Linked DNA regions of Saccharomyces cerevisiae S288C. Changing the gene in region 1 together with any one later gene gives a genetic interaction. Each region holds a gene or a part of one and is shown on either strand. Other genes may lie near its edges. The genes, in order: SFM1 and MLH2.

Region 1 (16,974 bases):
GCGCATTTTACCTCTGAAGGATCCCGTTTCCACATTTGTAAGCTAGTGTTCGTTCATATAAACACCCTGATCTTCGGCATTTCACTACTCTTCGGGCTCACGCTTCTCATCCAACACTTTGTGTATATGTCCATCTCCTCATGATGAGTCCCGCCCAAGATAAACTGCAGCACCAGCATCATAATCCTAATTCTTCCTCATCGTCATCCTCTAAGATGACGAACGTTTATCAGGTTACCACGCCAAAGTCTCCTCAGGATTTGGAAAACAACATGGATGAGCCCTTCAAAATGGACACCGCCACCAGTAATCCGGACAAGGATAGCGAAAATACCCAGCGGTTGAAGTACGAATGTGCCAAAGGGGAAATACAGAATGTTTTGAACCTACATATAATGCTAAACCACAAGCATGTTAGGCACTTACGAAGAAATGTTCAAAAGGTTAACGCAAAACTAGCTCTCTTGGAAACCCTGCATAAGGATACTGGTCTATTGAACAAAATCGAACGGACGTATCAACTCAAAATAAAACAACATCAGCAGCATAGCGTGCTCGGCGGCCACTTTCACGACAGTACGGCTACGGAAAATACGAACGCATCAAATTATAACCTGTCATACCCGGTTCTATCGGATTATAACATCAACTGTCAGCCTTTGTCTTCGAGCAGCAACAGAAATCTGTCAACAACACGCATACCACACCACCATTATCATACTAGAAGCAAGAGTAACGGGCTTTTGCTAGAACCTTCTGCCCTCCGTCCGGCAAATTCGAATATAATTGATTACAGGCTAACAGGTTCTAAATCTCTATCAGAAGCCATAACCAAGCCCACTCCCGTCTCGCTTCCTCACTCTAATTCGGATGGCATTTCTTCACCTCGTTCCTCCTCAATCTCCCCCTTAGACGAGCAGCCGGGGTTCCAGATACTCCCTTTTAAACCAAGTCAGATGCATCTTAACCACAGACGTAATTACAGTAGCACTTGTTTGACGAGCAATAGCGGTATCATCGGTAAGACTGAAAATAATGAGCCCATTTTTAGAAGATATGACGGCATTTTGGTTATAATTACGTGCTCCAAATGTGACCGTTCCGGTTTCACTTCCGCGCAAGGTATCGTGAACCATACTCGACTAAAACATTCTAAACTATATTCAAGCCAACCATTGGCAGTTTTAAACAACCAAAAACTACTTCCTAATGATAAGCAGGATCCGGAAATTTTATCTAAGTTCAAGAAACTAAATTTGGACCCAAACAAAGACTACCTACCCTCTGACATTGCAATCCCAAAACCACAATCACCAATCAACCACTCCGAGAACCATACGCGGGCTCCAAAGACTGTCAAGAACACTCCTCATTTAGAAAAACTATACCAAAATAAAGAAGACTTCAAAAAACTGATTGACATGGTTAATGAAACTCCGGATGATTTGAATGAATATTTGAAGCAACGTGAAATTCAATTAAGATATCAAAAGGAGCAAGAAGAGGAATCTTCCAAATCTGATGACGAAGCTTCTTACGTCCCATCACCGTCTCTCTCAGCAACGGCTACAACAACAACGACTACGGACCCACCCTCTCCGCCAGTGCTATCCTCCTCCTTACAAAGAAAATTGCTGCGTAAGAGAAAACTGAGCTTGAATAGCTCTACTCCCATGGAAGATTTACCTTTAAGAGAAAGGTTGAGAGCAAATCCCACTGACAAGAAACCAAGAAAAGCGGCCCTTTTGACTAATGAACTTGAGGGTCCTGATCCTGCAGCAAAATCATCATCTTATTACAATCTAAGGTCGAAATCAAGACTGCGTGGTTCTCATACATAGTACACACATATAAATAAGTAAATTACGTAATATAATATTCTGTTGGTTTTCTGACCTAATTTGTCGCTTTGGAAGAAAAAGTGGATTGTATTTTTTTGCATATTCCCTAATATTGAAGATCACTGAATATACTCACAGTGAACAATTACTTGAAATGCTACGGTTTACTCATCGAGGCCTTCCCTCCAGCACTCGTTTTAGAAACATTTTCGTAAGGTTAAATCACATTTATGTACCATGGTTCTATGCCATAGACGTACCCAACTCCAAACCCTATTTACCCACATATCAAACTTTACACTCACCCAAAAAGTTTAAGCCGTTCTCCGTTGATGATTCTAATCGTTTGGAAAAGGCCAGTAAGCGTCAAGAACGCAGGCCTGTTTTAGTCAACGAAGATTACCTGTTTAAAGTCGACCTCTCTCACATGGAATTGTCCCCTACCTATTGGGAAGGCCCTACTTATCAAGTACGAAGAGGTGTGTGGTTCGACTCTTCAAATCAACCTTTGTCCAGTGATCTTACCTCCGAAATTGAAGGGTTGTATAAGCAGCTCAAATTCGACGACAGTAATGATGATCCGACCACGACACCTCCTGCAGAATCGCAAGATATATTTAGGCTCAAAGGTAAATACCCAGTCGATAAAGAAAACGAAGGAGAGCAAAAAAATGGATCCAGCAATAAAGATGAGAACGAATCTACTTTCAAGTTTATTTTGTTTGCCAATAAACAAACTGCATTTTTACTATCGGATTTAGATGGAGGAAAACTGCAATTAGCCTTTCTAAGGTCTAATCTGGCTCAATCCTTACCGATTAATGCTACAATGATTACAAGATCATACAAATATTCATCCTCCGCAACTACTAAACAGACATCCACATCTTTTAAGGCAGCAAAAACGCCTCAAACGGAAGTAGCAGATGGTAGTAACAGTTCCAAATCGAGGAGCATTGAAACAAAGTTAGAAAAGAAAGTTTCAAACCTCTTCAATTTATCGGACTTTTTACAGTTGTTCAATGGTAATGCTAGTAAAGATCAAGATGATGCACAGAGCTTGGAAAAGCAAATGGAAACAGACTATAACAATGCAGATAACAGTCAAGGCGCTAATGCTAGTAGCAAAATAGAAGATGGCAAAAATTCGGGCGCAAGCGATAGACAAATTAGAAGTAACAGAAGAGATGTGGATAACTTGATACTATGCGTTCACGGTATAGGTCAGACTTTGGGTAAGAAGTACGAATACGTAAATTTCGCACACACGGTAAATCTACTTAGGTCTAATATGAAAAAAATCTACAATAATTCTGAGAAACTACAATCATTAAACACAGCACCTGATTATAAAAGCAACTGTAACGTTCAAGTGCTACCCATCACCTGGAGGCACTCGATAAGTTTCCAAACGGATGCTAAGGAGGAAAATATAGAAAATCCTGACCTACCGACTTTGTCACAAGTCACAGTAAATGGAGTGTTACCCTTGAGGAAGCTACTGGCTGACGGTCTACTAGATATTTTGTTGTATGTCGAACCATACTACCAAGATATGATTCTACAACAAGTAACCTCTCAATTGAACAAAACATATCGGATTTTTAAAGAATTTAATCCAGAGTTTGATGGGAAAGTCCATTTAGTGGGCCATTCGTTGGGTAGTATGATATTATTTGATATTCTATCCAAACAAAAAAAATATGAATTAGAATTTCAAGTAGACAACCTGTTCTTTATTGGCTCACCAATTGGATTGTTAAAGTTAATTCAAAGAACAAAAATTGGTGACCGTCCCGAATTTCCCAATGACTTGGAGAGAAAATTAACCGTACAGAGACCGCAATGTAAGGACATTTATAATGTTTACCACGTCTGTGATCCCATTTCTTATAGGATGGAACCTCTTGTTAGTAAAGAAATGGCTCATTACGAACAAACTTATTTACCACATTGTAGTGAAGCTTATGGACTAACTTCTAAAGTTTTGGAATTTGGCGAAAACATATGGAAAGATTTGCCAGGTACTGATGAAAATAATTTGCAGTCCAAAAAAACTTCTCCAGAAAAAAAAGAGGTCAAGTTATCAGAAAATCTTACGAGAATGCTTACAGGTTTGAATTACACCGGACGTCTAGATTATGCTATGTCTCCAAGTCTGCTAGAAGTGGATTTTATATCAGCTATAAAATCACATGTTTCTTATTTCGAAGAACCGGATATTGCAGCGTTTATCCTAAAAGAAATTTTAAGTAAACATGAAAATGCATCAGAAATATATGTAAAAAGAAAGACTGGTTGATCAGTAAACGCAAGGCACAAGTTTTTTTTAACTTTTTTCTTTACTGTCTATTATAGTTCCACTGTGTAAGGTTGTATTCTTTCCGTACTTCAACTTGCGGGTAACAGGATTGACACCTTTTCAATTTTTTCCGTTATTTTGGATTAGAAATTTTCGGTAAGCTCATCGAGTATTGTAAAAGAGCAATGCCCTTTGCTTATTAGATGTTGAGGGGCATATCTATTGTTAATATAGATTGATACAGCTGTGGAGATTATTTCTAGATATACGATGAAGTACATTATTGAGCATATGGAGGAAGGGTTTAGTGAATGGGTCATTTTAGAGTATAGCCAAATCCTGAGAGAAGTAGGAGCTGAAAACTTGATTTTATCATCGTTACCAGAGAGTACCACGGAAAAGGACATCCCTCAAAGGCTACTAAAACTTGGTTTAAGATGGACTACAAAGGATTTGAAGGGCATTAACGAAGATTTCAAGGATTTGGAACTGTTAAAAGATGGCAGAGTCTGTCTATTGGACCCTAGGGCTACAATCGATTTACAGCCGGAGGATGCTACGAAATTCGACTATTTCGTATTTGGTGGCATATTGGGTGATCATCCTCCAAGAGATCGTACCAAAGAACTAAAGACTGCCTATCCGAATCTTTTAATTAGCAGAAGACTAGGTGATAAACAAATGACTACGGATACTGCCATAAGAACAACACAGTTGATTATCAAAGACAGGATTGCATTTGAAGACATCAAGTTCATTGACTACCCTGAATTTAGGTTCAATAAAAATGAGGCCACGGAAATGCCATTTAGATACGTTTTAGATAAAGAAGGTAAACCTATTTTGCCTGAAGGGATGTTGGATTTGATCAAGAAGGATTCTGCTCAAAGTTTGGACGATCTGTTGATGTAGATGAGAACAGTCCTTTAAGTAACATTCTATGGTTGTAATAAGTGATGATGCTTCCTTGTCAAAGAGTTAGTTGAAAAGTTTAGGGTCGTAGCATTAATTATATTGTATATAGTTCAAAAACGACATTCAATGAAAAAATCAAGTTTATTAGCCAATGAATATTTCGTATTTTGCGTTAGTAGCGCTACCAAGACTTCTGAAAAGTGCATGCAAGAAAAATAAAAACAAGGAACCGTTTACTTTTATGATATCATCATTGTCAGGCCAAATAGGATAAAATTGATTGGTTGTATTATGCTTTTTAATTGAAAAAAAAAGTAGAAACTTTTATTATTTTATTTAAATTAATTTCTTTACATTACTTGCATCTAAAACCAAACGAGCTGGTGACTTCAAGCACTGCACTAGTTGCCATGGCTTTGCTAATTCAGACGACCCCCTTGAGGTGAAAAAATAGTCTCAGTAATGAAACAATCATAGGCAATTAGTTCGATTTTTTATAATTATCTTCCAGCCTTTCAAATATTGAAAGGCCATCAACTATCACTTACACCTGAGTGTTGTCATTGATCCGTAAAGTAAAAAGAGGCAAGTTTTGTGCATATTCGTATCATGCACAATGGCCTAAGGCAAGTATTTTCAGTGTTTTTTTTTTTTCATTGCCGTTTTGCTATTCAGAATATATTGAATTATATGTATAATGCATACTTAATAGAAAGAAGGACGCTAATTTTCGTTATAGAACAGTAGTTTCAAAAAGTGCTTCAAGTTTATAGAAATCAGTGCATCCCTTCACTGAACGATGAAGAACACCACCATTTCAGAAATTTTTATACATAATCAGTTGGCTTTCGTATCCTGCCTCGTATCTTTCTCTAAATCATTTAAAAATCCTTCAATACTCTTTACGACATCATCGTCCTTTCCCATAGCATCTGAGTTTGAACTTTCACCGCTTTTTTGTTGGCTCAAGGCAGAACTATTCTTGCCTTCATTTTTGGTTTTTGGTTTCGTGGTAAAGTAAGATGCCACTGCAGCAGTAGCGATAAACGTAGATATAGCCAATACGTGAGGTTGAACCGTCTTCCCAAATACTTTGTATGCAGCACCCATTGAGATAGCTATATTTATTTTTGTATATCTTATGTTTAGAAACAGTAGCGACCTTTCTTACTTGTTCCTTCAAAACTTGACTTAGATAACTATTTACCCTTAAACCGTTAGCTCTGTATTATGGACTGTGAAATTACACCTCGTTACCCGAAGTTCTATTATATTTTCAATCCATACTCCTATGATCTCTTCATTGGGAAAAAAAGGTCCACTTTCTCCTGGATTGCTCGAAGGCTTTCCGTAAAGAAAATACCTTTTATTTTTCTTTGCTTTCTTTCTCCATTAAATAGTAAACGCCTCTTTCTGAGGCAGCTGGCTAAAAAAATGTAACAAGGAATTTTATTTTATTACGGTTCAGCAAAGGCCGTAACGATAGTTGTATTATTTTCGTTCATATGTAGCAGCGATGGTAGCATTTTTTATTGTATAAATTGTGGCTTGCGTCGATTATCTTATTATGCCACTCATAATAAAAAGTTACTCTCAAAATGTCAATATTCAATAATGCATGTCTGTCTTTTTAATTTAGTACATACGTAGGATTAGGTATTGGAAGCAATCATAATGAGTTCTAAAGTTGTTATTTCTCACTTATTGCACCTCTCGAAGTTCTCTCATTAGCCGCCCAATTCTCATTCGTGTGAAGGTCATTAACGGGGTAATGCCCGTCATCAATGATAGAAATTTCTAGAATCTTGAAGGAATGGGAAAAAGAAGCTTGATTATGTATAAAATTAGTCAAAACGCTTATACAGTACAAACTTATTATGTGCTAGGTTTAAAATAATTTCTGATAGAAGCCATTGATCGAAAATATATTGAATCTACAGAAAAAAAAGAATGTCCACCCTTTTGAAGTCTGCTAAATCTATCGTTCCATTGATGGACCGTGTCCTTGTCCAAAGAATCAAGGCACAAGCAAAGACAGCATCCGGGTTGTATTTACCTGAAAAGAACGTGGAGAAGTTAAACCAAGCTGAAGTTGTTGCCGTAGGCCCGGGCTTTACTGATGCTAATGGTAATAAGGTTGTTCCTCAAGTTAAAGTTGGTGACCAAGTTTTGATTCCACAGTTTGGTGGTTCTACCATTAAATTGGGTAACGACGATGAAGTTATTCTTTTCAGGGACGCTGAAATCCTGGCTAAGATTGCCAAGGACTAAGAATGATGTCTTCTTCAACAGAGATTTTATATACATACTCTATATGTATGTACCTGTAAATAGGCCATTATGTATGACAGGAAAAAAAAATAATTGAACTCAAATTTCTTCTGCTATTCAGTTGCTGCCCCCAATTGTCTGCTAATAAAATTGATCTATTCATCAATAGGAATTTTAGGGACACTATGTGTACAAACTATCCGCTCATATTTTGCCGAATAAGAACAATGATTTCTTCTTTTTTTTCTTCTTCTTTTTCTTGTCGTTACGATCATCACTTTCAAAAACATCGCCACTGCTACTATTCCTTCTACTGGATGATTTATTTCCAGAGGAACTTCCACTTTTAAACACCTTAAAAATCCCAACTCCACCCCCAGTGAAGGTGTTCACAGTACTAAAACTAGACGAGCTTTTCTTTGACCCTGCACTACTTGAGGAGTCATTAGTTTTGACTTTTCTTAACGCACCGGCACTTTTAACTTTCCTCAAAGGAATGCTATTATCAACACTACTGCTTTTATCAGATGGATCAAAGGAATTTTCTTTGTCGAAGGAAATACTGTGCCTTATATCAGGCAGATTTCTGGCTTTGCCAAGGGCGGCTCTTCCATCTTTGTGTTTTACAGAGGTTGCAAACTTGATTTGGGACGTAGGCGAGCTACTGAGTTTAATAGTTGTTGTGGTATTTTGTTCCTCTGAGGAAGAATATGGTATTAAAGATTTTCTAAACTTTGTGTTTTTCGACCCATTGCCTATCAAAGCATTCTTAAAGCTGGAAATTTGGTCACCGTGACTGGACTGCGATACATTTTTACCAGGCAACGTCTCTATCGCTAAAGAAGACTTCAATGACTCTCTAATTATGATATCAATTTTCTTCAACAAAAGTTTTTCCTTAGTACATTCTCTATCTTTCTCATCGTCTTGTAATTTTTCTATATCACCCGTGATCTTCCTTCTTGAATGCTGGGCGAGACCGGTCAATTTTCTTGGAATGGAATCATTAGAGGTGTTGAACTGCTTTTTGATGTAGCCTTGCCTTTTGAAATCTTCGGCGTACGAATCTACGGAAATATGTGAAGAAATATCTGATATTGTATTTTTTTTGAACATTGAACTGCTCATGCTCTCAACGTCAGTGTGTTCGTGCTTCATATGATTTTTTGAGACATAATGTTCATTTACTTCTCTTTGTAGATTCAGTTCGAACGAATACATTCGTTTCGAGGGAACAACAAATGTGGGAATCGGATAACTAACAGGAAAGACATCTGTCAGCTTTTTGGATTTATATGTAATAAGATTCTCATTTCGCTCGTGCTTTAAAGTAGCAAGAACTAAGAAATCTGGAGTATGGACATTAATGACATCTACCAGACTTTTTTTAATTTTGCCTACAATTATTTCTAAAGTAATTTTGACGGATATTTTGACCACTTTTACTAGCTGTAAAATATAATCAAAAATGTCGTTTAATTTTTGATCTATTACTTCTTTTTGATATCCCGGTGCCCATTCTGTATCATCTTTTGCAGTTTTTTTCCTGTTAGAAATCATTTTTGGCAGTGTAGTTATGACAACAATGTGATCAAGATTTCGTGCAAACTTGTAGACTGTCCAGTCTAGGGCAACCCACGTATGTTTTTTTCCGTTAATGTGACAAACTATTGTCTTAGGGTTATTGGGATATCCGACCTTTTGTTGAAGTATTTTATGCTTTCTTTTTTGTTCTTTTGTACATGGTGCACTATCATCTCCTCTATATAACGGTTTAATACGCTCTTCAGAGAAGATAAGTTCTGGGTAAGTAAACCATTTTTTTTTGTCATTCAGCCTTTCATTTATTTGTAGTTTTCTTTGGCGCCATAACTTTATCCAGTTCTTTTCAAACCTGTTTATCATCAACGTTTCGTTGACAATTACTGGCGTGCTTGGATAGTCTCTCCTCACTATTTTTCCATTCTTGGATACCAAGAAATATTTTTTGATGTCAGAATTCTTTTCCAACAACTTTGAGGATCTCATTGGAAAACTACTGGATTCAGATTTGTTCTCTTTTCTAGTATTCAGAAAAGGTGATGATTGGAATGTATCTCTCAAATAATATTGCAAATTTGGCGAAAAAGAGTCTGTTTCATCGTCATAGCACTCTTCCATCGTGTAATAGTTGGGAACAGGTACACCTTTGAATCCTTCCCTGCTGTCGTCTATAGAAGAATAACCAGCGGTGGAAGGCACTGTGTCAAAGGCAACAGATGGTTGGAAACTGCCTTTCTTTTTGGCCCGTTTTTTAAGGTTTTGTTCATTTCTCTCTTCGAATTGTTGTCCTGGAACATCGAATGTGAGGCTTCTGTAGCATTTTTGCAAGTCATTTTGTGGGCAAACAGAAATCATAATAATTTAAGGTTGACTTGCCAAAAGGGTGCGTGATCTATAGCAAGTTGAATATTAAAAGCCTTTTTAATGAGGAGTCCTTATTTTAATACGTGTTGGATTCGATGTCCTTTCTTTCTGGTCCTATGCATTAGTGTGGATGGTAACGAGACATGAACCCAGAAGGATATATATGTATCTATCTGCAAATCATATTGCTACTAATAATGGTAGATTGCCATTCACAAAAAAGCCGCCCCTCATAAAACTCAGCCGCGCAAGCTTTGAAAAGGGGCGAGCGGCTGAAACAGAACGGTCTTCTAGAAGGCTGATTCAGCAGTAATTAAGACAAAAGCAGTACTACCAGCAAGAACATAGGAGGTGATTGAGTTATTAATTGAGGTACATCTGAATTGCAAGAACTCTAAATATTTTCTTTTGCGATGAAAAACTGATGCTTGTGTGATTAACATATAACGTAATTCATTGAGAGAAAAGAGCAGCTGTGCTCGAGATCAATGAGTTGACTATAAAAATAGCAATTTCCGTAGGATCGCAAAGTTGGCTAACCGTATAAAATGGGAGGATATATACGAATGATGTCTGTGGGATCTTTAACATTTAATTAGAAAATTTTGTAGTGCCAATAATTGTTGAGGAAGAAGTGCCAAGTAAAGAAAAACAGATCTTCTGAAGCTCATTGTATTCTCATTATATTCTCTCAAAAATACGTTCGTATAACTGATTAATCCTGTTTTTCTAATCACTATTTTAATGTTTCAATTGAGGGATTTTGCCTTCATACAATTGTTGAGAGAAATTTTCCAACAAGTATGGGAAATATGAGCAATTCTTATCTTTTAAAAACAAGAACTGGTCCGATATTATTCACCTCAAACATATTGGACGAGATCATTTTTAAAACGTTAGGGGTGGGGAGGATATCAATAAGTTTTCATAATTATGTTAACCTTCAAGCCATAAAACCGAGTAAGACCACTTAACAAAATCTATGAGAAGCCTTGCGGCAGAATCTGACAACTTCAGTGAAATTTTTTTGTGATTATAGAAGCATAAACTACAACGCCGAATTGTTTTACTTTATAGCAATTATGAGGTAGTATTATAACATTATATTATCATTTTTCAAGTGGTATGAGGTATGAAAGTACTCTATCAAAGTATATATGCTTAACTGTACAAACGTGTATGAAGTATTGCTCATATCTTTTTGTCGAAATTTCGAAGACAAAAAATAAAGCAGTCTATGAGCGATCCCGTTTTGTGAACATCTCCATTAAATTAGCAAATGAACCTGTTCCTTGTCTTAATGGTGAGTTGCTATTGTTGCTCCGAACTGACGATGAGCGTGACCTTCGATTGTGGGTTGCGCTCGTATAGTTTTCCTCTTCTCTTGGCTTATTAGCGTCAGATGTAGAATCAGTTTTATCAAAATGTGAATTGTTCTTGGAACTTGAATTACTAGTGAAAGATGTTGTCATATTAAACGGAAAATGTCTGCTTCCTGTGCTGCTTTTTGCTGAAGTGAAAGAGAGATTTAGATTAAATGAACTATCTGTGTTGTTTCTCGCCAACTGCTGCAATGATACTGAGGATCCGCTATTATTCCTTGGTAATGGAGAGTGGGATAAATGTGTCCTACTAGACGATCTTTTCAGATTATTGGAACTCTTGCTCGAGCCTGGAAGTGGCAACAAAGAGGATGTAGACTTGTGATGAAGAATTTGTGGCCTTTCTAGTTCAATTTTTTTATTTTCTTGAACTCCAAGTTCTTCCTCGGGATAAGCCGGTGGAAGATCCTCACCAATCATATCAGATTTCATTGCTTTATCATACGAGGGAACTCTGCTTAAATCTGTCAGTTCCAAATCGTTCTTCAGCGATGTAGAAGATGTTTGGCGACTATATGAGTTACGCCTAGATAAATGTGCAAAGCTTGGTGTCAGTGAAGGACTATTCAATCCAGCATTAATGATGTTATTATATCTATTTGCAGAAGGAGAGTTATTGTTCCAATTTTCACTAATTGTTAGATTACTATTAACCAGATTCAGGTTACTATTGTTAACGCTGTCCCCTCGAGAGTCACAATTATTTAGGCTATCATCTTCAATCTTGATTTGAGGATTTGGTGCCAAAATAGGATTATTGCTATTGTTACTATCCGATATATATAGGTTTTGAATATTGTGAATTGCCTGTGATTCGACGGCACTTGAAGAAGCTGATGCTGAAGTTTCGTCTTCATTAGTTACCTCGCCATACACTCGATCGTAAACGTGATTGCCGTAGTTGGGAGGTACCATCAAACTAGTTACCATAGTTGTGTCAGCGACTGCGGTAGCCTCTGCATCAGTACTATTGATATTTAAAGTAGAGCCAGATACTATGGTTGGCATTGAAGACAATTGTAACGCAGAAGCAGATCTTTGAAAAATCACATCTTCTTCACTATCGTCTACAAAGTTTTTGCTGCTGAATGAATTATCGTGCTGACTTGTTACTTGATATGAGGGTCCAAACGTTTTGAGCGTTCTTTCAATAACATCGGAGGTCTTTACATTGACTGGAACAAACGGTGAAATGAATAATTGGACAGGCAGTGCCGCACGCAATTCTGAAATATGACCGTCCGGATTGAGTAAACTTATAGTGAACTTGATCTTATGACGGACTTTGATATTAGATAAAATGCGACAGTCTTGGGAGCATTTAGTCAGGCTTGCAGGTATGTTTAATAAAGCTCGAACTTCCCATTTATCTTGAAATTCCCCTGTGTCCGTATCAACCCCTTCGTCGGCAGCTTCATTTAGGCTCCTCTTCTTCTTTATTTGGGCAACGTGCTTCAGGGGATCTTTTAGTTTTAATTTAGCCACCATTCTTTCTTGGTTGATAACCCCTCCATAGCTACCACAATACTGGGAATTTTCCACCAAACTGATCCTAACAGGGCCTAACTTCAATCCTTTTAATATAGGAACAATTAAAATATTGATCATGGTGGAAGAGCCAATGGCAATTGCCTTAGTTGGAATGGAGATCGTATAATCGACTTTTTCAGGCCATGAGTTATCCACTGATACTGTTTCAGATAACTCGACTGCATCTATAGCTAACGTTCGAATAACTCTTAGATGTTTTTTACAGATCAAGTCGGGCTGCTTAGGTCTCTCGATAGTAGCTTCCAGAGCATAAGTGACGGCAGCATTTGGTAGGCCTTCTACACTTTCCACTAATGACCCAGGAATAATCGCGCTGAAAGGGAATTCGTAGTTACCTTTTACTAAGGTGTGATAGTTTTTGCTTGCGCTTGTCTGCCCATTACTTGATATCAATGATGCAGTAGAAAGGGCTCTTTTTCTCTTTGGCAATGCTGCTAAATTTGTTGAGGATTTACTAGAAATTGTTATTTTACCATTATTATGATTATCGTACAAGTTTTGGAAATAACTTTTTATATTAAAATCATCCCAAAAATGAGAATATATGTTTCTCTCAAACTTTGAGTATCGCTTATGCGGCCCATGAACAGTTTGTAAAACCGTTGGAATATTTAGTCTCAACCTACCAAAAAGTCTCAAAGCCAAAGACTTGATTTGAATTGGCTCAGTAATTGACAATACTATAGTTCCAGATAGTAGGACAGAAGATGCCTCATCAGGGGGGCCTTTTATCAGTAAAACATCATTGTCCAAATTTCTAAGTCTGATGTCAAATAGTAATGGCTCTTTTGAAGGTCGAGATGATGATGAAAACATTATTACTTATGGAGGAAGAGAAGCGAATGGTGTGATGAAATCGCGTTGATTTCTGTATGGTTGTTAATTAGTTTTAGATCTGCATCTTTTTGACGTCTATATTTGAATAGGGGACCCCTGTTCTGTTTTTTTCGCTTAATAAAAAAACGCTGAAAATTGCAAGAGCCCAGCCATACAAAATAATTTATAAAAACTGTGAACAGGAAGCTTCTCAGTTTTTATCGGAGAACCCATCTCTGGGGTTAGACATTCATCCGCATTAAAACTCCTATTTTTACTCGTAGTTTTCGGTCTTCAAAATAAAGCAGATTCCTTAAAGTTAGATGCTTTTATTCAACTTAATCAGTAATGTAACATAATATGTACCAAGGGACTCGACTCTTTTTGACCCATTGTTTAATTAATATGTGTTATAATTACAAGAATAATGCATTGTATGGACATATCTAAAAATACATAGAATAATTACATAAGGTCGAAAGTTGTGAGTGAATACATTAAAGTAGTAAAACTTCACCTATAACATTAGATTGCCCAACGCTGACTACTGTCTTCTAGATATGGAACTTGTTACTCCTTTCTAATAGTTTTCTTCGAAGGGCACCTTTTTTAGCATATGCGCGCAGTTTAGTTTGCAGTCGGGTAGGGCCAAAATTAGAATATCTTTTGTTACTTCCATTATCGCGGTGATCATTGCGGGCTTGTAGTGATTTGATTCGATTCATAATTTCATCCTTTTTAGACATATCAGGTTCCTGACGTGTGATTACTTGATTTTTCAATGCGTTTAATTTAACATCCAAATATTTAAAGTATAGTTTTCGTAAAATTTGTTTGTCATTGATATCTGTAAAAGTAGAGTTCACCTCCCAAGTGGAAACATCGGAAGCGTGGAAAAAGTTTGGAGTCTGTGTAGATGGTATATCTTTGTACCAGTCTCGTTTCATCATGTCAGAAATATATTTACGGGATTCGGTGTCGAGAATATCGTTCTTTTTTAAAGCAAAATCAGGTAGATGTGTAGTATTAGGATGATGGTGATAGAAATGCTTGACATTTACTTTAAATCCAACTAAGGAATTCAGGTGTTCCTCCAAAAGATTTTCGTTATATGAGCGGAGGTTTAGTAGCTCCTCTGTTAATTGTTCGTTCGAAGTATCCTTTACCAATAAAGATTTATCCTCGTACTCAGGTGACAACGGCAGGGCTACAATATTTAGCACCGGTTCGTTAAAGAAGCGGCCACTTTTGGATCGTTTTTCTTCAACTTCGGTTTTAAGCATTATTTTGCATTTTTCCCATTTCGTATTACTTGAGTTAAGTAACTGCTCAACGTGTTTCAAAATATTACTGAACAGATTCATAGACATCTTAAATTCCCTATTAGCCACCAAGCAAGCAATTTTCCTATCGTCCCTGTCATAGTGTAGAATGTAGTCCTCCTCACCATATATCCCTTTTGTGATATCATTCTTCTCCTTTAACAAACTGTCGAATTTGCTGTTATACGAAGAATGGATTATATAATCTAATTCGTCCAAAGGTAGATATTGGAATCCAAACATCTTAGAAATATTGTGGTATGCAACGAAAATACCGTCCATTTTGCCAATTCTAGCTTGCAAAGAATACTTTAGAAGGGCAGACCTGATTAGTTCAAAATATTCTCTTTCCAAAGACTCAAATTCCCCATAAACTTTATCTATCTCATATCCAGTTTGGTTGTTATTACTCTCTACATGTGATAAATCGTATCTTATGGCAGAAACTGCTCTTGTCTTCAGATCAAATACACCCGTTCCAGGTAGATTTGGGTCGTACGCGTCCAATTGAGATCTCACAATGAATTCATCTATACTAGAATAGTGATAATTTTCACTTTTTGAACTATTCTTCAGGGACTTTTCCGTTAAAAAGTCTTCAAGATAATGACCTAGTACAGAAAGCACAATCTCCCTATCCAGACTTCTATCTGAATCAATAGAACAAATGCCATTTCTCTTCTTTCTCAGAATGACTGCTGACGGAAAATATGCACTTTCTGAATAATTGCAGTTTTTTTGAGGAAAATTTTTCGATATCGAGGAATCAATGATATTCAATCTTCTGAAATTGGATAATAAATAGTGCAACTGAGAAAGTACTGATGTCATGGAACTTGATGAAGATATGTACTTTTTTCTATGTTCTTTGGCAACCTTTAACAGAGATTCATCTTTGTGGGGTGTGATGAATATTGGCTTGCTTTGTCCTTCTCCAGAGGAGTCTGTGTTCACATCTTTTTCACTTTTCTTTTCCAAATACTCTGGATTAATATTTTCCACTGCAGGGTCAAAATTATACATTCTGCTCCTATTATCTCTCAATTTTTGTAGCGACAACGGTTGGTATAACACTCTCGTTAATCCATGACCAATCCTAGGAGGCTTTTGGTTGTGTTTTTGAACACCATCTTGATTGTAACGTACTAATGCGTGCCTAATCTTCTGGACATTTATCCGAAAAGTGTATGAATTGCTATCTGAATATGTTCTGCTAGCGGGATATGTTCTCCTAGCGGGATATGTTCTCCTACCAGGATATGTTCTTCTACCAGGATACGTTCCTACCTTTGTCCGCTCCAAATACTTATCATGTCTATACTCCTTCTTTATATTTGTTTTCAGTAGATTAATCGCCTTGTCCATTTCTTCCGTATATTTTTGTCGACCTCCCTTTTCCTTGTTTCCAATGTCCTCTACAGTCGAATTTGTGTCATATATTTCATCGACCATCTCTAAAGCACTATGCAGGTCAGAACGTAGCTTGTCTGGTGTTTCTCTTCCACTAGGGGCATTTGTGAGAGCAGCGCCAAAGTGATAAATCGATCGCTGTTGATAGCTTTTAGCGGCGCTACCTATTCTGCAAGGCTCAACAGATAGACGTCTGGACAGGAATCTACAGTTGTAGAACCCCATTATCAAAACTATAAAAGTATCAGGTAGCGTTTGGCTCTTTTTTGTGCTCTCTCAAGTGCCCTGTTTATATTATATTTTTACATATTTGTTTCTTTATTAACCAACGGCATTGACGGAAACGCGCTTTATTATGGACTACTTTTTTTTCACTGTTTCCTGTTTTTTGACGTGATATACTCAAAGATGAGCGATTGACGATCTGAGAATTCTATTTGGGAACTCTTCTCTGCTTTGAAGACATTTATTTCCCAGCTGCCTTTGAAGTAGTTTCACGAGCGCTAGTGAAGTTTTTTCATAAATATATATTCCCAATCATCGCTAGGAATTATGCGCGTTTTTACTTTGATTGCGATTTTGTTTAGTTCATCTTTGTTAACACATGCATTCTCCTCTAATTATGCTCCTGTAGGCATATCATTACCTGCTTTTACCAAAGAATGTCTTTACTATGATTTATCCTCTGATAAAGATGTCCTTGTGGTCAGTTACCAAGTTTTGACAGGTGGGAATTTCGAGATAGACTTCGATATTAC
Region 2 (11,345 bases), on another chromosome or scaffold:
TCAACAATTTATCTGTTCGTCCGTCGCTTATTAAAAAACGGCATATAAATAGAGCAGCTTTGATTAACTCTTTCCGACAATTTGGCATTGTTATTTACATTCGAGTGAGCTCACATCTTCACTAAAAAGATCTACAAAAGTTCAATCGAAAAAAATGGTCAAACTAACTTCAATTGTTGCTGGTGTCGCTGCTATTGCTGCTGGTGTCGCTGCTGCCCCAGCCACCACTACTTTATCTCCCTCTGACGAAAGAGTTAACCTGGTCGAATTAGGTGTCTACGTCTCAGATATCAGAGCTCATTTGGCTGAATACTATATGTTCCAAGCTGCTCATCCAACTGAAACTTACCCAGTTGAAATTGCTGAAGCTGTTTTCAACTACGGTGATTTCACCACTATGTTGACTGGTATTCCCGCTGATCAAGTCACTAGAGTCATCACTGGTGTCCCATGGTACTCCACCAGATTGAGACCAGCTATCTCCAGCGCTCTATCCAAGGACGGTATCTACACTGCTGTTCCAAACTAAGCCGATGGCCTCACAATTGGTATTTAGCACTGGATTGCTTTACGAACGGATAAAAATAATTATGATTTGACGGTAAGAAATAATTAGATATACATACGTATACAAACATATATATGTATTACAGGTACTTTTAATCAGTTGCACTGTGTTCAAAAAGATATTTTTTAAATGCGGGGGGAGATTCAAGTTTTGTTCTCGCATTTAAATTTCTGCATACAATTTGTACTTACAAGAACCTTATACGATTCCAGTTGAGACACGTACTGATATATTAATGATCATATTAAGAATCTTAATGCTTAAAACTTCTCTTCAATTCAGCATTTGATCTGTGGCAAGTTAATCTTGTTCCATTTAACGTGGATTTGACTTGCCATGATCTTCCCATAAAGCGGTAAATAGCCTTTTTGGTAAAAAATTGAAAGTTTAAAAGTACGGAACAAACTTTCGAGTTTTTCCTCAAAGGCCCTTCACAACACACGAGAACTAAAAGGTAGTTAAGACAGGAACTTGCCGTTAAAGTTTACTTTCTCCTTCAAAGTATAGGAAATAATGAAAGAGGCAGAACTTAGTGCGACAGAAAGCCAAGATGAGATCCCAAAGTCTAATTCCTTATTAATTATAGAAAAATTAACAAAGGCCGTTTGTAGCCTTTATTTTATAAATTGTTTTATGGTGCCATCAGTAGATAATTTGATTGAAAAGTACCCAAAAGCAATCATCATTAAGATCATAGATATGATTCTGGGGGCGGTAACAATTTCCCTCGTTATTATAGTTTTCTTTTTATATCGAAAGAACGGTCATTTTAAAAATGAAAATAAAACAAAGCCAAAGAGATGTTCGAAGGTAGTATGTCCCAGCTGTGCTGCCAGAAAAAAGTATCCTAAATGGTTTCAGCTAAAGTATTTGTTATTGGTATCAATGACTGCTTTCAGCTTCTACTTTTGTACCAAAATTAGGTTTTTTTTTAAAACTGACCAAACTATTAATTTACACCGACTATCACAGCTATTTAGATTGCAGCTAGGCTGGATATGTACTACTGCATTATTATTCTATTTTTACGATGCGTTGATATTACATAGCGGGTTCATTGAAGGGTATAGATGTGTCAATGGAAAGGGAGCGATGTCTGAAGGTAAAACCGGGCAATTAAATTGAGGATTTTACCTAATATGTATTATTTTGGAATTAGCTTGAAATGTGAAGGTATCATTTTACTGTTGCATATTGGATAATTGGTAAAGTTACGCAAAGTATTCAATATCATCTTCTTGCATTACTCGACCATTGAGAATAATTTACTATATAGTTTGAATACGAGATTACACCTCGACAAAAGTAGTTCTATTATTTGCACGTAACAATTATCAGAAAATGGGTGAACTTCGTATTAATTGTTGGGATTTCGTTGTTGATATTAGGTATACAAAATATACTAGAAGTTCTCCTCAACAGTCTTGGAATTCACGAAAGGGAGTTGATAGTTCTGATAATAAAATCACTTTGTCTTCCTTTCTTTTATACTTTGTCATTCATTATTCTACTACATTATCAATTTGTTAGAATGAAACTCTAAAACATCATCTGTTTAGTAGTATTTGCGTTACTAGTCAATTATGATCGTTGACTCTTATTCTAACAGCTAGTAATATTACCCCCGTTACGTATGAAAGTGTTGGAATAAAAATCCACTATCGTCTATCAACTAATAGTTATATTATCAATATATTATCATATACGGTGTTAAGATGATGACATAAGTTATGAGAAGCTGTCATCGATGTTAGAGGAAGCTGAAACGCAAGGATTGATAATGTAATAGGATCAATGAATATAAACATATAAAACGGAATGAGGAATAATCGTAATATTAGTATGTAGAAATATAGATTCCATTTTGAGGATTCCTATATCCTCGAGGAGAACTTCTAGTATATTCTGTATACCTAATATTATAGCCTCTATCAACAATGGAATCCCAACAATTATCTAATTACCCACATATATCTCATGGTAGCGCCTGTGCTTCGGTTACTTCTAAGGAAGTCCACACAAATCAAGATCCGTTAGACGTTTCAGCTTCCAAAATTCAAGAATATGATAAGGCTTCCACTAAGGCTAACTCTCAACAGACAACAACACCTGCTTCATCAGCTGTTCCAGAGAACCCCCATCATGCCTCTCCTCAACCTGCTTCAGTACCACCTCCACAGAATGGGCCGTACCCACAGCAGTGCATGATGACCCAAAACCAAGCCAATCCATCTGGTTGGTCATTTTACGGACACCCATCTATGATTCCGTATACACCTTATCAAATGTCGCCTATGTACTTTCCACCTGGGCCACAATCACAGTTTCCGCAGTATCCATCATCAGTTGGAACGCCTCTGAGCACTCCATCACCTGAGTCAGGTAATACATTTACTGATTCATCCTCAGCGGACTCTGATATGACATCCACTAAAAAATATGTCAGACCACCACCAATGTTAACCTCACCTAATGATTTTCCAAATTGGGTTAAAACATACATCAAATTTTTACAAAACTCGAATCTCGGTGGTATTATTCCGACAGTAAACGGAAAACCCGTACGTCAGATCACTGATGATGAACTCACCTTCTTGTATAACACTTTTCAAATATTTGCTCCCTCTCAATTCCTACCTACCTGGGTCAAAGACATCCTATCCGTTGATTATACGGATATCATGAAAATTCTTTCCAAAAGTATTGAAAAAATGCAATCTGATACCCAAGAGGCAAACGACATTGTGACCCTGGCAAATTTGCAATATAATGGCAGTACACCTGCAGATGCATTTGAAACAAAAGTCACAAACATTATCGACAGACTGAACAATAATGGCATTCATATCAATAACAAGGTCGCATGCCAATTAATTATGAGAGGTCTATCTGGCGAATATAAATTTTTACGCTACACACGTCATCGACATCTAAATATGACAGTCGCTGAACTGTTCTTAGATATCCATGCTATTTATGAAGAACAACAGGGATCGAGAAACAGCAAACCTAATTACAGGAGAAATCCGAGTGATGAGAAGAATGATTCTCGCAGCTATACGAATACAACCAAACCCAAAGTTATAGCTCGGAATCCTCAAAAAACAAATAATTCGAAATCGAAAACAGCCAGGGCTCACAATGTATCCACATCTAATAACTCTCCCAGCACGGACAACGATTCCATCAGTAAATCAACTACTGAACCGATTCAATTGAACAATAAGCACGACCTTCATCTTAGGCCAGAAACTTACTGAATCTACAGTAAATCATACTAATCATTCTGATGATGAACTCCCTGGACACCTCCTTCTCGATTCAGGAGCATCACGAACCCTTATAAGATCTGCTCATCACATACACTCAGCATCATCTAATCCTGACATAAACGTAGTTGATGCTCAAAAAAGAAATATACCAATTAACGCTATTGGTGACCTACAATTTCACTTCCAGGACAACACCAAAACATCAATAAAGGTATTGCACACTCCTAACATAGCCTATGACTTACTCAGTTTGAATGAATTGGCTGCAGTAGATATCACAGCATGCTTTACCAAAAACGTCTTAGAACGGTCTGACGGCACTGTACTTGCACCTATCGTAAAATATGGAGACTTTTACTGGGTATCTAAAAAGTACTTGCTTCCATCAAATATCTCCGTACCCACCATCAATAATGTCCATACAAGTGAAAGTACACGCAAATATCCTTATCCTTTCATTCATCGAATGCTTGCGCATGCCAATGCACAGACAATTCGATACTCACTTAAAAATAACACCATCACGTATTTTAACGAATCAGATGTCGACTGGTCTAGTGCTATTGACTATCAATGTCCTGATTGTTTAATCGGCAAAAGCACCAAACACAGACATATCAAAGGTTCACGACTAAAATACCAAAATTCATACGAACCCTTTCAATACCTACATACTGACATATTTGGTCCAGTTCACAACCTACCAAAAAGTGCACCATCCTATTTCATCTCATTTACTGATGAGACAACAAAATTCCGTTGGGTTTATCCATTACACGACCGTCGCGAGGACTCTATCCTCGATGTTTTTACTACGATACTAGCTTTTATTAAAAACCAGTTTCAGGCCAGTGTCTTGGTTATACAAATGGACCGTGGTTCTGAGTATACTAACAGAACTCTCCATAAATTCCTTGAAAAAAATGGTATAACTCCATGCTATACAACCACAGCGGATTCCCGAGCACATGGAGTCGCTGAACGGCTCAACCGTACCTTATTAGATGACTGCCGTACTCAACTGCAATGTAGTGGTTTACCGAACCATTTATGGTTCTCTGCAATCGAATTTTCTACTATTGTGAGAAATTCACTAGCTTCACCTAAAAGCAAAAAATCTGCAAGACAACATGCTGGCTTGGCAGGACTTGATATCAGTACTTTGTTACCTTTCGGTCAACCTGTTATCGTCAATGATCACAACCCTAACTCCAAAATACATCCTCGTGGCATCCCAGGCTACGCTCTACATCCGTCTCGAAACTCTTATGGATATATCATCTATCTTCCATCCTTAAAGAAGACAGTAGATACAACTAACTATGTTATTCTTCAGGGCAAGGAATCCAGATTAGATCAATTCAATTACGACGCACTCACTTTCGATGAAGACTTAAACCGTTTAACTGCTTCATATCAATCGTTCATTGCGTCAAATGAGATCCAACAATCCGATGATCTTAACATAGAATCTGACCATGACTTCCAATCTGACATCGAACTACATCCTGAGCAACCGAGAAATGTCCTTTCAAAAGCTGTGAGTCCAACCGATTCCACACCTCCGTCAACTCATACTGAAGATTCGAAACGTGTTTCCAAAACCAATATTCGCGCACCCAGAGAAGTTGACCCCAACATATCTGAATCTAATATTCTTCCATCTAAGAAGAGATCTAGCACCCCCCAAATTTCCGATATCGAGAGTACCGGTTCGGGTGGTATGCATAGATTAGATGTTCCTTTACTTGCTCCCATGTCCCAATCTAACACACATGAGTCGTCGCACGCCAGTAAATCTAAAGATTTCAGACACTCAGACTCGTACAGTGACAATGAGACTAATCATACAAACGTACCAATATCCAGTACGGGTGGTACCAATAATAAAACTGTTCCGCAGACAAGCGAACAGGAGACTGAGAAAAGGATCATACACCGTTCACCTTCGATCGATACTTCCTCATCAGAAAGTAATTCACTACACCACGTCGTTCCTATCAAAACGTCAGATACCTGTCCTAAGGAGAATACAGAGGAATCTATTATCGCTGATCTTCCACTCCCCGATCTGCCTCCAGAACCTCCTACCGAATTATCAGACTCCTTTAAAGAACTCCCACCGATAAATTCTCATCAAACTAATTCCAGTTTGGGTGGTATTGGTGACTCTAATGCCTATACTACTATCAACAGTAAGAAAAGATCATTAGAAGATAATGAAACTGAAATTAAGGTATCACGAGACACATGGAATACTAAGAATATGCGTAGTTTAGAACCTCCGAGATCGAAGAAACGAATTCACCTGATTGCAGCTGTAAAAGCAGTAAAATCAATCAAACCAATACGAACTACCTTACGATACGATGAGGCAATCACCTATAATAAAGATATTAAAGAAAAAGAAAAATATATCCAGGCATACCACAAAGAAGTCAATCAACTGTTGAAGATGAAAACTTGGGACACTGACAGATATTATGACAGAAAAGAAATAGACCCCAAAAGAGTAATAAATTCAATGTTTATCTTTAACAGGAAACGTGGCGGTACTCATAAAGCTAGATTTGTTGCAAGAGGTGATATTCAACATCCTGACACTTACGACCCAGGCATGCAATCCAATACCGTACATCACTATGCATTAATGACATCCCTGTCACTTGCATCAGACAATAACTACTATATTACACAATTAGACATATCTTCGGCATATTTGTATGCAGACATCAAAGAAGAACTATACATAAGACCTCCACCACATTTAGGAATGAATGATAAGTTAATACGTTTGAAGAAATCACTTTATGGATTGAAACAAAGTGGAGCGAACTGGTACGAAACTATCAAATCATACCTGATAAAACAGTGTGGTATGGAAGAAGTTCGTGGATGGTCATGCGTATTTAAGAATAGTCAAGTAACAATTTGCTTATTCGTTGATGATATGATATTGTTCAGCAAAGACTTAAATGCAAATAAGAAAATCATAACAACACTCAAGAAACAATACGATACAAAGATAATAAATCTGGGTGAAAGTGATAACGAAATTCAGTACGACATACTTGGCTTAGAAATCAAATATCAAAGAGGTAAATACATGAAATTAGGTATGGAAAACTCATTAACTGAAAAAATACCCAAACTAAACGTACCTTTGAACCCAAAAGGAAGGAAACTTAGCGCTCCAGGTCAACCAGGTCTATATATAGACCAGCAAGAACTAGAGCTAGAAGAAGATGATTACAAAATGAAGGTACATGAAATGCAAAAGCTGATAGGTCTAGCATCATATGTTGGATATAAATTTAGATTTGACCTATTATACTACATCAACACACTTGCACAACATATACTATTTCCGTCCAAGCAAGTGTTAGATATGACATATGAATTGATACAGTTCATATGGAATACGAGAGATAAGCAATTAATATGGCACAAAAGCAAACCTGTTAAGCCAACAAATAAATTAGTTGTTATAAGCGATGCATCGTATGGTAACCAACCGTATTATAAATCACAAATTGGCAACATATATTTACTTAATGGAAAAGTAATTGGAGGAAAGTCCACCAAGGCTTCATTAACATGTACTTCAACTACGGAAGCAGAAATACACGCGATAAGTGAATCTGTCCCATTATTAAATAACCTCAGTCACCTTGTGCAAGAACTTAACAAGAAACCAATTACTAAAGGATTACTAACCGACAGTAAATCTACAATCAGTATAATTATATCCAATAATGAAGAGAAATTTAGAAACAGATTTTTTGGTACTAAAGCAATGAGACTAAGAGATGAAGTATCAGGAAATCATCTGCACGTATGCTATATCGAAACCAAAAAGAATATTGCAGACGTAATGACCAAACCTCTTCCGATAAAAACATTCAAACTATTAACAAACAAATGGATTCATTAGATCTATTACATTATGGGTGGTATGTTGGAATAAAAATCCACTATCGTCTATCAACTAATAGTTATATTATCAATATATTATCATATACGGTGTTAAGATGATGACATAAGTTATGAGAAGCTGTCATCGATGTTAGAGGAAGCTGAAACGCAAGGATTGATAATGTAATAGGATCAATGAATATAAACATATAAAACGGAATGAGGAATAATCGTAATATTAGTATGTAGAAATATAGATTCCATTTTGAGGATTCCTATATCCTCGAGGAGAACTTCTAGTATATTCTGTATACCTAATATTATAGCCTTTATCAACAATGGAATCCCAACAATTATCTAATTACCCACATATATCTCAGAAAGTAACATGCGTGCTTTCTATGAGGTTGAAGAATAACACTCATCTTAGCCACAGTGGAGGGTTTACCTATGAAAACAGTACTAAGTAGTCAAATAATTTCCTCTCCTTTGTACGCGTTTTAGGGCACATGGCGCAGTTGGTAGCGCGCTTCCCTTGCAAGGAAGAGGTCATCGGTTCGATTCCGGTTGCGTCCATTTATTTTTTACTTTTATTCTCCTTTATTTTTAACAATTTCTAGAATAACTCGACTCGATTCCAAGAAAACCCCTTAAGCAGAGCTATATATCCTTATATTTATTCGTAACACTGCAATGTGAACATATAGTACAGCAGAAAAGATTACCTTCTGCATTATCTATAAGTTTTGCGCATAACAAACCTTTCACTTGTCACCTAATTTGGGTTTAAGTAGTGCTCGCTATATTGCCCTGGCACAATGCTTTTTTGCTTTTACTGTAGTCTTTGCTATTTAAATAATCTCACTGTCGTCCATATCCCTCATATACATGGCCCTTTTTTGGCGCCCATACAAGAAAAAGTAATCACTTTTATAAACATATAAAGTTATTTCACATCCCATCATCTCGGTTTGAGGAACAGACGCCTTTTCATAGTTTTGGATGACTATACATCAGTTATCTCCAGAATCCCAATGGAAGATTGTTTCTAGTTCCTTTATTTACGGTCCGGTAGCTGCTGTAAGGGAATTATTAGATAATAGCATCGATTCGGGTGCTAAAAAAGTATTCATCGATGTAGATTCCACTACGGGAGGATGTGAATATATATCAGTCAAGGACGATGGATCAGGTGTGGATATTATCGACAGACCTTCTATGTGCTTGGAATACACCACATCAAAGATGAGTAGTCTCGGAGATATTTCGATTCTGACTACTCTTGGATTCAGAGGTGAAGCATTGTTTCTTTTGTCAAACTTGTGTAACCAGAAAGGCTCAATGCAGGTTGAAACAAAAACTGCAGATGATGTCATTGGAGAAAAATGGTTAGTTGATAGTAAGGGTGGTATTACCAATGGAAAAAGGTACAAGGTATCTTGTCCCGTGGGGACTACAGTAATATTAAGGAAACTTCTGGGAGGGTTACGAGCAAGGTATCTCGAAATTTCTTCGAGGCCAAGAAAAACATTCGATGAACTAATCTATTTAATAAACCATTATTCTCTAATTCATAGAAATATTCGGTTTTATTTTTCGTTGGTGTCATTACAAAAAAATGGTGCCATAGAGCGTAAACAAATGCAAGAAACGTTAGACCCTAAGATTTCTAGAGCTAGAAGTTTGTCCCTACTAGCTAGACTAAAAAAGCCTGTGCCGCTGAACTTTATTGTAGAAGAAAACTTTGTTATCGACGAAAAAATAAATTTAGATTTGATCTTACCGAGGATGGTGCCAGAATCTGACGTTATTAATATAAAGAGACGATTTAAATTTTTATCTGTTAATGAGAGAGCGCTATCTTTGAACTTGGAGACGGGGAAGACTATTTCTAAGTTACTATCGTCAATCTATAGAGATTTCTCTTTACTAGATCCTATGGTTTGGTTTATTAATTTAAATTGCGATACAAAGCTTCTTGACGTAAATATCGAACCAGAGAAAAATGACGTGATGATCAAAAGTTTTGAAGTGATATTTAAGAAGATAGAGAATAAGTTAAAGTTGTTATTGGAGGAGAGAATTGGCATCGAAACAAATATGCTGGGAGATAAACATGTTCAGCCTTCTATCAACGAAAAAACTTCTCCCGCACTGGTGATACCTACACCCGACGCAGAGAATGAAATATCAAAGGGCTGTGGTGCTGTTAGTGGTAAAGACAAGACTGACATCCCACAAAAAAACTCAGATTTGATAGTACCAACTTTTTACGATGAAGCAAACTTAGAGAATACGACCATTGTCGCTGCTACTCCTTCACCTACAAAATTTAGCGAGGATAAAGCTCTTGACGAACAAACTCAGCTGACCATTTCAAGTTATAGAAGCTCGAGTTCCGGGTCTATGGCTTCCGAGGACAGTACTAATTGGCGACATAATTTCCAACAAGAACTAAGCGAAAATAGTGAAGTAGCAGGAGCTGGATCCTCAACATTACCCTCGTCATTAACTTATAACTATATAGAAACTATTCCAGAGAACGAGGATTTAGAACTTTCTAAGGACGCTTCTATTTCTAATCCTTTTATGATCACAAAAATAAGAAACGTCAACAAGAAACTGAGCGAAAACTTACTTGAGGCCAAACGTACTAGCTGTGGAGATGCCAATAAAAGGGGAATGCCCAACGAAAGACAGCTTTCAAATACAGAAAAAAAGGAACTAATAAAGCTTCAGCAAACCTACGGTAAAAGAAACAATACCGTGGACATGACCATTCCACGAAATTCGAAAAAAAAAGTAACTGATAATTATATAAAGAAAGCATCCTGCATGCACAAAACAAGGCCGAAACTCATGCATTTTTCCGAGTATACCAACAACTACGTCTATACCCTGAAGAATGAAAAAATTGTTAAGCATGACAGCGATAACTTTGCCAAAGAAACTCTGTGGTTACGATCGAGGGACGATGCCACAAGCCCTTCTTCCAGTCTTTTGCAAGCCTTGCGAGCGCATGTGAAGAAACCGGGACACATTGAAGCCACGACAAATGAATGGTGCCTCTTCACGCCAGACAGCCCCTGATGATCGGGTGCACTATCACCACTCAGCACAATAGATTACTTCATAATAGACCATTGTTTGTAACTCATGGTAACCGCACCCTGTTGCCCGCCCTGCCTCTCTTCCAGTTTCCGCACCTTGAAATTTCCGTTTTGGGTCAACTTAAAAATGCTCTAATATTGCATTGTTACGACATCCTGTTGTCATGCGACTAAAGGTATTTATACTGTATATATCTCATTCATCTGATTCTGTGAGGTTGCATAATTGAATATTTATTTCAAAGGAGCTAGAAGACAAAGATCACTCCACATAAATATACGGGGTTCCTTTATATATTAGTTCATTTTTTTTTTCAGTTGTCATACCCAAACTATTATTTCCTTCTGAACTCCTTTAAATATATCGTTCTTCCAAGCTAATTGATAACAGTAGTAGCATCACAAGAGAAAAAAAATGCGATCTTATATGCAGATTCTTCAAAAATTTGCCAAATTTATTGGGCCAGGGATATTAGTCAG

What was found.
Region 2: mutations in SFM1 (region 1) and MLH2 together harm fitness more than expected from each alone (negative genetic interaction), as found in Saccharomyces cerevisiae (one large-scale study listed by BioGRID).

What each region holds. Positions count from the first base shown.
Region 1 is NC_001147.6:360,879-377,852, reverse strand, and holds SFM1 (protein-arginine N-methyltransferase SFM1), read left to right. Parts: upstream 1-4,413; coding exon 4,414-5,055; downstream 5,056-16,974. Other genes in the region: AHC1 (Ahc1p), read left to right, coding at 141-1,841; DDL1 (putative carboxylic ester hydrolase), read left to right, coding at 1,996-4,143; MCO10 (Mco10p), read right to left, coding at 5,896-6,168; HSP10 (Hsp10p), read left to right, coding at 7,009-7,329; YOR019W (uncharacterized protein), read right to left, coding at 7,534-9,726; ROD1 (Rod1p), read right to left, coding at 10,971-13,484; PET127 (Pet127p), read right to left, coding at 14,039-16,441; ERP4 (Erp4p), read left to right, coding at 16,769-16,974. UniProt on the Saccharomyces cerevisiae protein: S-adenosyl-L-methionine-dependent protein-arginine N-methyltransferase that monomethylates ribosomal protein S3 (RPS3) at 'Arg-146'.
Region 2 is NC_001144.5:211,869-223,213, reverse strand, and holds MLH2 (mismatch repair protein MLH2), read left to right. Parts: upstream 1-8,757; coding exon 8,758-10,845; downstream 10,846-11,345. Other genes in the region: seripauperin PAU23, read left to right, coding at 155-529; YLR036C (uncharacterized protein), read left to right, coding at 1,082-1,693; YLR035C-A (gag-pol fusion protein), read left to right, coding at 4,307-7,774; putative divalent metal ion transporter SMF3, read left to right, coding at 11,281-11,345.